Linked DNA regions of Mus musculus. The protein of the gene in region 1 interacts with the protein of each later gene in a pairwise test. Links are inferred from orthologs where the notes say so. Each region holds a gene or a part of one and is shown in the gene's direction. Other genes may lie near its edges.

What was found.
Region 2: the proteins of Urod (region 1) and Lratd2 interact in binary tests that used the Homo sapiens proteins (3 or more experiments, as listed by UniProt). The two-hybrid records come from large-scale screens. The link is inferred for Mus musculus from reciprocal best matches to the Homo sapiens genes UROD and LRATD2.

The regions. Positions count from the first base shown.
Region 1 is NC_000070.6:116,992,034-116,995,941, reverse strand, and holds the start of Urod (uroporphyrinogen decarboxylase), read left to right. Parts: upstream 1-1,528; 5' UTR 1,529-1,591; coding exon 1,592-1,611; intron 1,612-2,244; coding exon 2,245-2,357; intron 2,358-2,474; coding exon 2,475-2,554; intron 2,555-2,631; coding exon 2,632-2,694; intron 2,695-2,918; coding exon 2,919-3,116; intron 3,117-3,216; coding exon 3,217-3,378; intron 3,379-3,908. Other genes in the region: E3 ubiquitin-protein ligase HECTD3, read right to left, coding at 171-539. UniProt on the Homo sapiens protein: Catalyzes the sequential decarboxylation of the four acetate side chains of uroporphyrinogen to form coproporphyrinogen and participates in the fifth step in the heme biosynthetic pathway.
Region 2 is NC_000081.6:60,822,254-60,826,161, reverse strand, and holds the start of Lratd2 (protein LRATD2), read left to right. Parts: upstream 1-1,081; 5' UTR 1,082-1,648; exon of another isoform or gene 1,649-2,170; 5' UTR 2,171-2,266; coding exon 2,267-3,199; 3' UTR 3,200-3,908.

The DNA.
Region 1 (3,908 bases):
GGGACGAGTCAGATGGGGACAGAAATCAACTCAATTGCTCGCCCAGCCCAGCCCGGGGCAAAGAGCACGGAAAGCAATGCCAGCTCATTATGGGATAAGGGGGCGGAACAACCAGGGCTCTGGCTAGATCCAGGGGGTCTTTTGTGGGGTCCCTGCCATCCGGGGCGCACCTTGGTCAACTTCACCCAGAGCCCGTGGCCGTTGCACAGCTCCTCGCCAGTGGTGCGCACACAGGCGCCGCGCCGGAGCTCGATACTGTCACGGGCGGCGCGCAGGGGTCCAGAGCCTGTGCCCGGGGCAGCGCCCACGGCTCCCACACGCAGCCCCAGGCCCTCTGCTTCCCACACGGGCAGCAGCACGCGCGAGGGTCCCGCCGGGTCCTTGTACAGCTTGTAGAGCACTTCCCGCGGCACGAAAGCTAGCGCCGCAGGCAGTGGCAGCCCGGCCCGGAGGCTCCGCGCCGCCTCCGCCAGGAAGCGCACGCGACCCAGGAGCTGCCGCGGGGACTCAAGCGCCGCGCCGGGGCCAGGGCCGGCCATAGCGAAGCCGCTGAAGTGAGACTCGTCCAGGGAAACCCTGGCCGGCCGCAGCCAGGGGACAGCAAGCAGAGCTTCCCACCACACCCGGCCCCACCTCCCACCCTACCTTACCGTATGTTTTAGATTAAATGCACAACCTATTACCACCATAGTGTCAGGTGTTCCTATTTTGTAACCCGCCACCGAGTGCTACTATCCTTGTTCAGTCTTTATTCGACCCACTCTGATGATTTGGAGTCCTGTCTTTGTCTCCCCGTCCCCAACGAATATTACATTTGAAGAAATCTTTTTGTTGTTATTGTGTTGTTTTGTTTCTCTGTGTAGTCCTGGCTGTCCTGGAACTCACTACAGTCTGTAGATCAGGTTAGCCTCAAACTCAAAGATCCTCGCACCTCTACCATCCGACTGCTGGGATTGAAAGCGTGAGCCACCACACCAGGCTTGAGAAATCTTATAAAAATTGTTCAACTATCCTAGGGGGCGTGTGACTAAAATGTTTGGTAGAATGACCCCTTTTCCAGTCACTGATAGGAATGTACAATCGTTCTGGATAGATGCTATTTGTTGTTTCTAATTCCAGGAGACTAATAATCGTTGCCCACTTAAATGCGATTTTGGCTTCCTAGACGATTGCTAGAGCAGTTCCTGTCCTGCTCAGCACTCTTACCACTTCTACAAATTGGTTAGTAGTGTAAATGTAGAGCCTAAAATCTTCGGTTTCTATACAGCTAGACGACATTGTGAGACTCATGGACTGGAGTGAGAGCGAGGCTTGTACTAAGTCTTCTATACCACAGATGAGAAAAGTTTTAACATGTATTGGGAAGTCATTTCTTTGGGGCATTTGCTACTGCGTCGCAACAGTGGACTTTACGGTAAAAAATTGTTTGGGTCCTACGGGCAGCAGGGAGGGCAGCCCCACAGCTGTCACTGGATCGGTCACGTGGTTCTCAATATGGCGCCGCCCAGGGTTCTCTTCAGGAAGGGGCGGGGACTGGGGTGTCGGGGCGGAGCCTCAGATTAAAGCGGAGACCGCTCAGTTACTGTTTACCATGGAGGCGAACGGGTTCGGGTGAGTTTTCTGCTGCACGCGCTTGTGGCTACGTTACTTTCTGATCCGAGTCTTCCAATTCAGGGATATGTCCTTAAACTCTTATTTTTATTGGAGCTCTCCAAGTCTGAACCCAAGTCGCTGAGATTCCAAATCTTGCAGTCATGGAACAGAACCTTTCCCGCTCCCTGCCCCCCCCTCTTCCCGCAGTCTCCATTCCAGGGACTACCGTGCGGGACTGCGTCCCGAGACTTTCTTTCGAGGTGACTCAGAACTTCTAACTAGCACCTGGGACCATCAGCTTTGATCCTTTCTCGTTTTGGGGATCCCAGCTTCTCATGCTTGCCGCTCGGTTCCCCAAATTAACTCCTTTCCCCTAATCCCCTTACTGGATCTTCATTCCACTTCTCTAGTCCCTCCAGTTTCTTTGAGTTTGGGAAAGTGGACAAATGTGTAGGAAAGAGGCCCTAGTGGGGCCCTCCTCCTGGGAGCTTGTGCGCCACTTGATAGAGGGGAGGCGGTGGGCGGGGAGCCATGGTTTGCAAGCTGGTCTGGAGTAGGCAGATAACGGCCTGACTGGACCGGTGCCCTCCCCGAATCCCAGTCTAGCATAATGACATTTACTCCTACCTGTACCTTTCACCTGATCTCCAGACTCCAGAATTTCCCGGAGCTGAAGAATGACACGTTCCTGAGAGCAGCCTGGGGAGAGGAAACAGACTATACTCCCGTTTGGTGCATGAGACAGGCAGGCCGCTACTTACCAGGTCAGGGGCAAAGCTGTGGTCTAGATAAAACCTGAAATTCTAGATGGTGAAGATAGGAGAAGATAGTAACTTTGGAAGACCTTGTGGCTGAGTCCTGTCCTCCATCTCCCCTTGTAGAGTTTAGGGAAACCAGGGCTGCCCAGGACTTCTTCAGCACCTGCCGATCTCCCGAGGCTTGCTGTGAACTGACTCTACAGGTGAGGGCCCCACGAACCAGGGTGGGGTTCATGCCCCCAGTGTGTCTCCTTACTAACCTACTTGCTATTCCCTGCAGCCACTACGAAGGTTTCCTCTGGATGCTGCCATAATTTTCTCTGACATCCTTGTTGTACCCCAGGTACTCAATCCTGATCCTGGATTGTGGACTTTAAAAAAAGAGGGGAGAGGGAGGAAGGCACTCATTGGAAATCCTCTGTCTTGTCAGGTTTAAATACATAACGGGGAAGCGGCAAACGCTAGGGATGGAGTTTGCAGGAGGTTTTAGTCTTTTCTTTGTTGCATACGTTGAACAGAAACCTCTGAGTTCCAGGCTGTGTACCCATATATTTTATCCCCCTTAAGGCATTGGGCATGGAGGTGACCATGGTACCTGGCAAAGGACCCAGCTTTCCAGAGCCATTAAGAGAAGAGCGGGACTTAGAGCGTCTACGGGATCCAGCAGCAGCGGCTTCAGAGTTAGGCTATGTGTTCCAAGCCATCACCCTTACTCGACAACGGCTGGCCGGACGTGTGCCACTAATTGGCTTTGCTGGTGCTCCGGTAATGCGGCCAGGGGTGTGGATGGGAGCATGGAGAGGTCAGGCTCCTAGGTCTGGAATAGACAAGGGATCCTGTGTCTGCCGTCCTCATCTTTTTGTAGTGGACCCTAATGACATACATGGTTGAAGGCGGCAGTTCAAGCACCATGGCTCAGGCCAAACGATGGCTCTACCAAAGGCCACAGGCCAGTCACAAGCTGCTTGGCATACTCACTGATGTTCTGGTCCCATACCTAATAGGACAAGTGGCTGCTGGTGCTCAGGTGAGTCTTTAGGGACAAATAGGTAAATGGTTTCCCAAACTGGAGAAAGCAGGGATGTTACTTTTCCTCCAATGATCTGGTTAGAGTATCTAAGTGGTTTTCAACCTTCCTAATACTGTGACCCTTTAATACAGTTCCTCATGGTGTGGTGACCCCCAACTATAAAATGATTTTGTTGCTAATTCATAGCTGTACTTTTCCTACTGTTGTAAATTGTAATGTAAATATCTGGTATACAGGAGATCTGATATGCGACCCCTGAGAGAGGGTCATTCCACCCAGAAGGGGTTGTGACCCACAGGTTGAGAACCATGTAGATTCTTAGCCCTTCCTGAGACTGTCAGCAGGGCTTTAAGGTCTGAGGGTCTGGAGAAGGTAAAACTTTATTGTTATTATTATTTTTGATTCACCTGTTTCTGCCTCCCCAGTGCTCGGGTTAAAATCATGTGCACCACTGCCTGCCCCTCTCTCTTTCTTTCTCTCTCTTTTCTTTTTTCTCTTTTCTCTTTTCTTTTCTTTTTTCTTTTCTT
Region 2 (3,908 bases), on another chromosome or scaffold:
GGACTAACTTCCATCAGAGCCTTGACAATATTGATTGTTTTGGCTTAAAGGTACATAAGTAGATTGATTTTTGTTTCTGCTTTCAAACTAAAAAGGATCATAGTAGTGTTAGTATATTCCTGTTTCCACTGGTTGGTATGCACAGAATGAATAAATAATGTTACTTGGAAAAATTCAGTCGATGGAAAACAAGGTGCAGGTCTTGAATTGCACTGTTAACTGGCTAGGGTGCTTCCTAAGATTGTCTATTTCTGTTCTGACCCACTATTTAGAAGAAGGAGGGGAGAGGAGAAGGAGGAGGAAAGAAGAAGGAAGAGGAGGGGGAGGGGGAGAGGAGGGGTAGGAGGGGAGAGGAAGGGGAAGGGGAAGGAGGAGGAGGAGCAGTAGTAGCAGCAGCAACAAAAATCACTTTAGTAGTTTAGGTCTGGGGTAGAGAAATGACCCCAGCAGGGAAGAAAGTGTCCTCTTGAGGAGGTTAATAACCAACAAGGCTGTCACTTCCCTCAGGAGGAAGGAAATATATTCACCAGGAGTCTCTGCTAATTTGTTTTTAATTTAAGGACAATTAAGCAACTCTACACCCCCATCCCATTTCTGCATGCTTTCTCTCACAACTAGAAAAGAAATCTAAAACAAAGAAGGCTGTGAAGTTAATGTTGAGTTTACTTGGAGGGACACCTAACAGTCATTAGGGATTTGAGGAGCTAGTCAACTAAGTCCTGTATTATACTGCTTCCTCTTTCTGAATTATTATTATTATTATTATTTACTATCCAAAATTATTACTTGCTCTGGAAACAGGTTTTAGCTGATGTGTTTCTTGAACTGTTGCAGCACAGACTACTTTAGGTTATAAAAACGTTCTGATAAGAAAAGTCTGTCTCTCTTTCTTTAGATACTCCATCTAAGAAGAAATGGAAGGAGAAGAGGAAGAAAGACCAACATTTCACCACTTGCATTTCTATACTGGCAGGTGGCGTCTTGCTTCCAACTTCTCAGAACCCCAACTCAGCATAACAGAAAGGCAAGGGGGCTCAGGGCGGTAGAGGAAGCCTGCTCCCGTGGGAGGTACACTATTTACCAGCCCGATTTAAACCCGCTACGGAGGGGGCACGGTCCTGGAAGGGCGGAGCAGCCCTAGTGGGCGGGGCGGGGGCGGGGCTCCGAGGGACTAAGCTGGGTACAGGAAAGACCGGAGCTCTCAGAGCCACGTCTGTCTCTTTAAATGCCACGGGCTGCACTCCCGCCCGGGAGCCCCGAGCCGGATCTACAATCCCGTCCCTCCCGCTCCGGCGCTTGTTGCTCGCCTAGCCCGAGCGGGAGCTGCGGCCCCCGGGAAACCCAGCTAGCTCCTTCGGCTTCCCTCCTCGTGCCCCACCTTCCTGGAAATCTGCGTGAGGGGTCGTGCAGCAACGATCGTGAACAGGCATTGCCCCCCATCTTCAAGTCTTGGGGCTCTACACAACCGCGGGGGGCGGCGAGGGAGAAATGCGTCCTTCCCCGAAGCCCAGCTTCGCCTTGGTCTGCGCTGGGAGAGGAGGCACTGCGGAGCCCACACCTGCGAACTCGCCCTAGAAGTCTCGGGTGCGGCAGGGTGCCCCTCCCGGTCCCCTAGGGCTTCTACCTCTCGGGGAGAGAGTCCGCGCAGGTAATCTGAACCCCAGGGCAGGCGCGCGGGGGAGGGGCCGACGAGCCGCAGTGACTTGCGGCAGGTGAGTCTAGTCCGGAGGCTCACCTGCCACCTCCACGCCAAGGTAGCCTAGCAGGTTCTTGGGGGTGCAGACATTGAAGGACGTCAAAGGGCTAGTTAGGATCCGGAGTGGGAGGGGAAGTTAGGAAAGAGAAGGAAATTGGAATAAAGTTTCTATTTCCTTCCCTCCCCCACTCCTGCCCAGGGTTGGCAGGTAGGGCGCGGGCGGAAGCTGTCGGAGCTGCTGATGCAATGGCTTTGGCTGGGTCCAGGTGATAGCTGGAGGAAGGGGAAAGCTGGAGTGGCCATGTCTCCAGTGATCGTGACCTTAGTGGTGTAGAAACGCGAGGAAGCACGTCCCCCAGACTTCTCCTAAAATGGCTCCAGGTGCTCGGGCCCCTACCGGTTCTTTTTCAAGAAACAAACGTCTTTTTCTGGAGTGGCACCTACAAACATCTCCCTCGTCTTCTCTTCCAACAGGTGGCTTTAGCCCCTGCCCGGGCACCAGTGCCAATGACTCTGACGGTGGTTTCGCTTTCTCCTCTTGAAGTCTTGTGAACGAGAGTCCACAGCGTAATGGGCAACCAGGTGGAAAAACTGACCCACCTAAGTTATAAGGAAGTTCCCACGGCCGACCCGACCGGCGTGGATCGAGACGATGGGCCCCGCATCGGAGTCTCTTATATTTTCTCCAATGACGACGAGGATGTGGAACCTCAGCCACCGCCCCAGGGGCTTGATGGCGGAGCTTTGTCCGACTCCGGGGATCGGCCTCCCCTGCCCCCGCCGCAGCCCTACGACCCGCGGCAGCACGAGGTGGAATGCTCGGTGTTTTATCGTGATGAGTGCATCTATCAGAAAAGCTTCGCGCCAGGATCGGCGGCTCTGAGCACCTACACACCGGAGAACTTGCTCAACAAGTGCAGTCCGGGTGACCTGGTGGAGTTTGTATCGCAGGCTCAATACCCGCACTGGGCTGTCTACGTGGGCAATTTCCAGGTGGTGCATTTGCACCGGCTGGAGGTGAGCAACAGCTTCCTGACCGATGCGAGCCAGGGCCGGCGCGGCCGCGTGGTCAACGATCTGTATCGCTACAAGCCACTGAGCCCTAGCGCTGTAGTGCGCAACGCGCTGGCCCACGTGGGCGCCAAGGAGCGCGAGCTCAGCTGGCGCAACTCCGAGAGCTTTGCGGCCTGGTGCCGCTATGGCAAACGCGAGTTCAAGATCGGTGGCGAGCTGCGCATCGGCAAGCAGCCCTACCGTTTGCAGATTCAGCTCTCGGCTCAGCGCAGCCACACTCTCGAGTTCCAGAGCCTGGAGGACTTGATCATGGAGAAGCGGCGCAACGACCAGATCGGACGCGCGGCGGTGCTACAGGAGCTCGCCACGCACCTGCACCCGGCTGAGCCGGATGAGGGCGACAGCGACGCGACTCGGACTACACCGTCCCCCCTGCGTCCCCCAGCATCGGGCTCCGAGGAGGAGAACGGAGACTCGGTCGTGCACTGATACTTGAACTGGGCTCAGAGCTACAAAAGGAAGCTGTTTGCTGCAGCCACGCCCTCTTCCTCCCGCTCTTCTCCCCCCCCCAACACTTGGGCCCCATTTAGTATTCCTGGGCCTTTTGGAAAAAGCGGAGTTGGTGAAATGTACTGCAGGCTTTGGACAGGGGAGGAGGAAGGGGACTTAGGGAGCAGGTAGGATTGGCTGGTGGGTGGCCATGGGATGCTTTTTCTTCAGGCCCTCTCAGTCCACCTTCCTTTCCCAGGTGGGGTAAAGTGGGAACTTGCTTGCGGCTTCAACCCTATCAGATCTGGGACCAAATTTAACCCTTCGTATACAAGCAGGCTTGGGGGAAATCTCAGAGCACATTTGCCCTGCATTCTGTCTCTCTGGATCCCTCACTACACTCAGCTTGGAGGATGCAGGGTACAAAGGCCGGAGAGGATTGGGGAGGAGCCGCTTCGGGTCTGCTGGGAGAACTGCTTATCTGCTTCCCCCGCTGAGCTGTGCTTGGGATCCTAGAAGCTGGAGTGATTTATTTTTATGGGATTCCCGGGGCACAAGGCTGCTGAAACTACAAGATCTGGGATCAGCAGACCAAAACCAAACAGCCCCGTATTAAGTGCAGCAAATACTTTAGCAAACTCAGGCTACAGGCTACAAAAGGATTTCACTACCTCCCCCTCCCTATCCCCAAGTACCTCCTCTTGGGAAG